Linked DNA regions of Saccharomyces cerevisiae S288C. The protein of the gene in region 1 purifies or fractionates together with the protein of each later gene. This does not show direct contact. Each region holds a gene or a part of one and is shown on either strand. Other genes may lie near its edges.

Region 1 (3,411 bases):
TATAGGAGATGGATCATTTTTCTCTGAAATAATCTCAGGTTTGGAATTTTCATTGAAAGATACTACCTGTTCGTGAGCATTACCTGGTACCTTTCTTTTATAATACCTCATACGTTCTCTAAAATTCTTTTCCATCTCCGACTTTATGTTGTTAAACTCTTCTGACTGTTCTCTTTGAAGGCAAACGTTTTCAACATGTTCACTATTTTCAAGATCCAGCCATTTTTTAGGTACCGCTACACAATTTGGAACTACGACAGGATGGTCATCTTTGGGAAATCCTATCTTTATAGAATTTGATCCAGGATGTATCACGATAGTTGCTGTTGGATCATTTAGATCTATCTCGTCATTAAGTGGTGCTGCACTCGCTTCTGAGTGGGGCAAACTCTTTAAATCTATAACATCTGGTGTGTTGGTACTAGATATTTGGCTAGTGTTGTTATTTCTCAAAAATTTTCTATCTCTAAGTGCAAATATTTGATCGTCTTTTTTCAGATAATCTGATGAGTAGTTTTTTTGGTTGATTAACATTAAAGGTTGGAACAGGCCAGTGGCAGGTAAAGTAGTTGTCTCCACTTTCTCAATGCCAATTTTTTTCAACGTCTTGGCAAATTCTTCAGCAGCTTTAATACGTCCTAGTCTCCTCTTCTCCAAAAGATGTAGCGGGACTTTCTTCCCGGGAGGTGCTTTTGCGGGATCTAGCTTCGGATATTTCTTATAACGTTTACTAGTCTGCACAGCAGGTGGTGCCCTCTTATCTCTAGAGCTCCCTAATTCATTTTCATTTTCGTTGGCATTATCATTATCATTTTCGTCCTCATTGTCAACATCATTGTCGTCTTCGTCTTCATCTTCGTCTTCCCCTTCTTCATCTTCATCTTCTTCGTCTGCAACGTCTCTTGGGTCAACAGAAAGACCTGTTACACTTCTGGGTGTCTCAGATCCAACTACGTTATCGACACTATCGTCTGACTCATTCTCCGCATTTTCTTGATCCGCCTGGCTGCTTAAAGGTACGCTATTTTCTTCTTCCAGTTCATCCTCATCGTCATCATCCTCTAACGGAATATCAATGGGTTCCTCATAAATAATACTGGATTCTGCTTCTTCTTGCGACATGTTAGGTGCGATTGTATCCCTGTATTTATGTACTATTGACTAGTAATTTACCTGAAAGTGTTTGCTACTTCGTGGGCGTTCATCATCTCCATTTATTCATATTGCCATTCTCAAATAAGTCATCTTGCACGGCCCAACCAGCGGCTGGATAACGGATCTACCCCAACCTCGGACCCAAAGTTGCTGCTATAAAAACAGAAACAAAAAAGGCGTTTCTCGAGACTGATATCCAGATGGTAATAGAGCCCTTAAGTGCTTTGCAATTGTCAATTAAGTATCCTTGTTCGAGAGTTGTTCACAGCACACTGCGTATATATAGGCTTACCACAGTTGGATTTAATCAAGCGATATAAAAGCTGGAAGGAGACAAGTTTCCCCTAATTGTTGTTCTGTTTGTTACTTACCACTCTATATACGTTCGATTTCATAGAAAATTTCTTTTGCAGACCATTTATTCTTCAGTTTGATAATGTTAAGATCTACCGTTTCAAAAGCTTCTCTCAAAATTTGTCGTCACTTTCACAGAGAATCTATTCCTTACGATAAGACGATCAAAAATTTGCTGCTTCCCAAGGACACCAAGGTGATCTTTCAGGGGTTCACAGGTAAACAAGGTACTTTTCATGCCAGCATCTCTCAAGAATATGGTACAAATGTTGTGGGTGGTACGAACCCAAAAAAGGCGGGTCAAACACATTTAGGCCAACCTGTCTTTGCCTCTGTGAAGGACGCGATTAAGGAGACTGGAGCCACTGCCAGTGCCATCTTTGTTCCTCCACCGATCGCAGCTGCTGCCATTAAAGAATCTATTGAAGCTGAAATTCCGTTAGCTGTATGTATCACTGAAGGTATTCCTCAACATGACATGTTATACATTGCAGAAATGTTGCAGACACAAGATAAAACAAGATTAGTTGGGCCCAACTGCCCTGGTATCATTAACCCAGCAACAAAGGTAAGAATTGGTATCCAGCCCCCAAAAATTTTTCAAGCTGGTAAAATCGGTATTATTTCCAGATCGGGAACTTTGACATACGAAGCTGTTCAGCAAACTACAAAAACTGACCTTGGTCAATCACTGGTTATTGGTATGGGTGGTGATGCTTTTCCCGGTACTGATTTTATTGACGCCTTGAAATTATTTCTAGAAGATGAAACTACAGAAGGTATTATTATGTTAGGTGAAATAGGTGGTAAGGCCGAAATCGAAGCTGCTCAATTTCTCAAAGAATACAACTTTAGCAGGAGTAAGCCGATGCCGGTGGCATCTTTCATCGCAGGAACTGTTGCTGGTCAAATGAAAGGTGTTAGAATGGGTCACTCCGGTGCAATTGTAGAAGGATCTGGAACTGATGCAGAATCCAAAAAACAAGCTTTGAGAGATGTTGGTGTTGCCGTCGTTGAATCTCCAGGTTACTTAGGTCAAGCTTTACTGGATCAATTTGCCAAATTTAAATGATTATATTAGGAAGAGAATGAACTGCTTTCAAAAGAGGAAGACTTCTATGTCTCGATTATTGCTTAGACAAGTATGGAGCTGACATCCGTTTTCTTTTCAGAGCTTTTACTCAACATTCTATGTTAATTTTTCCCTTTGTATATATTCATTTATCCTTATAAATTCTACTAAAAATCTTTTAATAGTGTTTGTATTTAATGTTCTTCTTAACAAGGGTATACATAAAGGTTGATTAAAGCTTAATAATTGAAATGGAAAAAAAAATAACAAAACGTCTGAATTTCCTAGTCTGTTTTGCAAAAACAGATGCGCAAGCCGGGAATCGAACCCGGGCCTCATGCTTGGGAAGCATAAATTCTAACCACTGAACCACTTGCGCGTTTCAATCAATTTGGGAAGACTCAGCACGTTATATACTATTAATGAAAAATTTCCTTCTTAGTAATGACACTGATAAATAGGTAAGTGTTGGAATTAAAATCAACTATCGTCTAACAACTAGTAGTCACACTACCAATATATTATCATACACGGTGTTAGACGATGACATAAGATATGAGAAACTGTCATCGAAGTTAGACGAAGCTGAAATGCAAGGATTGATAACGTAATAGGATAATAAAACATATAGAACAGAAGGAGAAATAATCATAGTATTATTATGTAGAAATATAGATTCCTTTTTGAGGACTCCTATATCCTCGAGGAGAACTACACATAATATTATATATAACCTTTGCCAAAAAAAGGAATGCCAAAAATTATCAAACTATTTGTTGGAATAAAAATCCACTATCGTCTATCAACTAATAGTTATATTATCAATATAT
Region 2 (3,716 bases), on another chromosome or scaffold:
AAACTTCAGTGCTATCCACCTTTTGAGAGATCCACAAGGATTTGCCGAAAAATTGTTTAAGGAACATCTTTCAGGCAAAACGAAAAACAAATTTGACATGGAACAAAAAATATCTTTGATGCAGCTGTTATCAAGGTTGATTGGTACCCATAAGTTAATTGTTTTAGGAATTTATACTTTTTTTTTAAAGTACTTAACTCCGAAACAAAGAGATGTTACAAGAATTATGTCCGCATGTGCCCAAGCATGTCATGATCTTGTCCCTCCTGAAGTTATAAATGTCATGGTGAGAAAGATTGCAGACGAGTTTGTATCAGACGGTGTTGCCAATGAAGTCGCTGCTGCAGGCATTAATACCATTAGAGAAATATGCTCTCGTGCACCTTTGGCTATCGATGAGATTCTACTACAGGATCTGGTAGAATATAAGGGGTCTAAAGCTAAAGGTGTCAATATGGCTGCCAAGTCATTGATAGCGTTGTATAGAGACGTGGCACCAGAAATGCTAAAGAAGAAGGATCGTGGTAAGAATGCCGCCATGGAAGTACAAGAAGCCAAGAAAGGAGGTAAAGATTCAAAAAGACCGCAATTTGGTGCCGACAACAGTGTTCAAGGGATTGCTGGTATCGAACTGTTAGCCAAATGGAAGAAAGAACATGGTGAAGAGAGTGAAAATGAAGACGCTGATGCCAACTGGGAAGTAGATGTCGATAGCGAAGAAGACGATGTCGACGGTGAGTGGGTCACCATGGATAGTGATAAAGAATATGACGTTGATATGGAAGATAGTGACGATGAAAAAGACAATGCTAAGGGCAAGGAATCAGATTCCGATTTGGAACTAAGCGATGATGACGATGAAAAAGAAGTGAAGGATGAGCAAGAAGATGCAGATATAGATCCCGAAGCTGCCTTCCGTGAAATTGCTTCTACACGTATTTTAACTCCGGCAGATTTCGCTAAACTACAAGAATTGCGTAATGAGGAAAGCGTTGCTAAAATAATGGGTATCCACAAACAAGACAAGCGTGAAGAGTTAGTTGATGCAAGTACACTAACAGGCCCTATCAAATACAAACAGTCTCGTGAGGAAAGATTACAAAAGGTGTTGGAAGGTCGTGAAGGTAGAGACAAATTTGGTAGTAGACGCGGTAAGCGTGACAACATGCGTTCTACTACCAACAGAGAAAAAGAAAGAAGGAAGAACTTTGTTATGTCTATTCACAAGAGATCTGTTAGAGGTAAACAAAAAATGTCACTACGAGACAAGCAAAAAGTGTTACGTGCACACATCACCAAACAAAAGAAGAAGGGGTATTAGACGACATCGTAGCCATATTAATATATACATACATATACACAGATACATTCATCTCTCCAACTGTATGAGGACTTCTCTACCTTGAATGGAACACCAAAGCCAGGTAGATACTAAAAAAAACTCTTTTTATGTCTTGGTACAGAGAAAAATGCTCCAACTGGTATCGATTATGTGTTCATCGGGAATTCTCGGCTTTTCCCCGCAGCGGCGGAGTGAGTATTCTAAAAGTTGGTTGGCCTTTCAATTGCCGCGTAGTCAACATCTTTGAGGTTTTATATAAGATCGACGTTTTCCTTATCAGCACTTTGACGTTTTCTCTCGAAAAATAACAGTGACTATAGAGCGATAGTCCAGTTTTTTTGTAACTGACTTTTAGGTAGTTAGGATTAATAAGGATTGAGTCAATACAATCGAAAAAAATACTGAAGCATTGCAACTGAACAAAATGTACTCAAGAAAATCCTTATCCCTAATTTCAAAGTGTGGGCAATTAAGCAGGCTAAACGCGCAAGCTGCTTTACAAGCAAGGAGACACTTGTCAATTCATGAATACAGGTCAGCTCAGTTATTGAGGGAATACGGTATTGGTACTCCAGAAGGATTTCCAGCGTTCACTCCCGAAGAGGCTTTCGAAGCAGCCAAGAAATTAAACACTAACAAACTGGTCATCAAGGCGCAGGCATTGACCGGAGGTAGAGGTAAAGGTCACTTCGACACCGGTTACAAAAGCGGTGTTCACATGATCGAAAGTCCTCAGCAGGCAGAGGATGTTGCAAAAGAAATGCTCAATCATAACCTGATTACTAAACAGACGGGAATAGCGGGGAAGCCAGTATCTGCTGTATATATAGTGAAAAGAGTAGATACAAAGCATGAAGCTTATTTATCTATTCTAATGGACAGACAAACCAAGAAACCGATGATCATTGCGTCCAGTCAAGGTGGTATGAATATTGAAGAGGTGGCTGAGAGAACCCCAGATGCTATAAAGAAATTTTCAATTGAAACTTCAAAGGGATTGAGCCCACAAATGGCCAAGGATGTTGCCAAGAGTCTCGGTTTCAGTCCCGATGCACAAGACGAGGCAGCAAAAGCTGTTTCCAATTTGTATAAAATATTCATGGAAAGGGATGCTACACAAGTGGAGATTAACCCTTTGAGTGAAATTGAACATGATCCAACCCACAAAATCATGTGTACAGACGCCAAATTTGGGTTTGATGATAACGCATCATTCAGACAGGAAAAGATATATTCCTGGAGGGACTTATCACAAGAAGATCCTGATGAAGTTAAGGCAAAGAAGTATGATTTGAATTTTGTTAAGTTGAAGGGTAACATTGGATGTTTAGTCAATGGTGCTGGTTTGGCTATGGCTACTATGGATGTCATCAAATTAAATGGAGGCGATCCTGCGAACTTTTTGGATTGTGGTGGTGGTGCCACCCCTGAGACCATCAAACAAGGTTTCGAATTGATCTTATCCAATAAGAACGTAGATGCAATTTTCGTCAATATTTTCGGCGGTATCGTAAGATGTGACTATGTTGCCCTGGGGCTGGTAGAAGCCGCCAGAGAACTAGAAGTTAGGGTCCCCATTGTGGCACGTTTGCAAGGTACCAAAGTAGAAGAAGGCCGCGACATTATCAATAAGTCAGGCGTGAAGATTTATTCGTTTGATGAATTAGATCCTGCTGCTAAAAAGGTCGTTGAATTGACCCAAAATTAAGCTTCTCGAGAAAAACAAAAGAGTTAATAATAAAGTATATATGCTTTTTTACTATTAATAAAGTTTCTTATTTTCCCTACATGTATACATACATATAAATATACTCTTTTGGAAAAAATTTCTTTTTTTTTTTTTTAATTTTTTTATATTTTTCCATCTTTTGATGTAATATAGAGGTTATATAATGAAAGAATATATAAGAGGTCATAAAAAATCATTAAAAAAATGCGAGTTCAGGAACATATTATCGTTTACGTAATCAGTGCGTTATTGGCGGATTAGTACCGATCACACCTTTGTTCATCGATGTGGATGCAGTTTGCTTTGCTGCGACGGCTGCAGGAGTCTCCCCTTTTATTATGTAGTGAATAACCTGTTTAAAAGAATCACCGTTCCGTATCCTAAAGTTAGCAATTCTTGTTAGATGGTAGCCTGCAGTGCAACCCAGGAAAAAATTGACGGAAGCTAACAGATAGTTCTTGGGCTTGATGACAAACGACCAACGCGTCCAAATCAGTGCCGTCGCTAATAAAGATAAATTTTGTGCTCCTGATACCTTCTCAACAGGCCTCTTAATATCATTTAGCCCTGCGAAGACCAGCCCCCACTTCAAAGTTGGGGCCCAGAAGTGTACTGTTTTAGGGCCTGTTTCACTATTCCAAAATC

What was found.
Region 2: the proteins of LSC1 (region 1) and LSC2 purify together in Saccharomyces cerevisiae (affinity purification with mass spectrometry; 4 studies listed by BioGRID). This does not show direct contact.

Annotation. Positions count from the first base shown.
Region 1 is NC_001147.6:591,466-594,876, forward strand, and holds LSC1 (succinate--CoA ligase (GDP-forming) subunit alpha), read left to right. Parts: upstream 1-1,591; coding exon 1,592-2,581; downstream 2,582-3,411. Other genes in the region: ARP8 (Arp8p), read right to left, coding at 1-1,122. UniProt on the Saccharomyces cerevisiae protein: Succinyl-CoA synthetase functions in the citric acid cycle (TCA), coupling the hydrolysis of succinyl-CoA to the synthesis of ATP and thus represents the only step of substrate-level phosphorylation in the TCA.
Region 2 is NC_001139.9:977,370-981,085, reverse strand, and holds LSC2 (succinate--CoA ligase (GDP-forming) subunit beta), read left to right. Parts: upstream 1-1,766; coding exon 1,767-3,050; downstream 3,051-3,716. Other genes in the region: SDA1 (Sda1p), read left to right, coding at 1-1,321; MPC3 (mitochondrial pyruvate carrier), read right to left, coding at 3,310-3,716. UniProt on the Saccharomyces cerevisiae protein: Succinyl-CoA synthetase functions in the citric acid cycle (TCA), coupling the hydrolysis of succinyl-CoA to the synthesis of ATP and thus represents the only step of substrate-level phosphorylation in the TCA.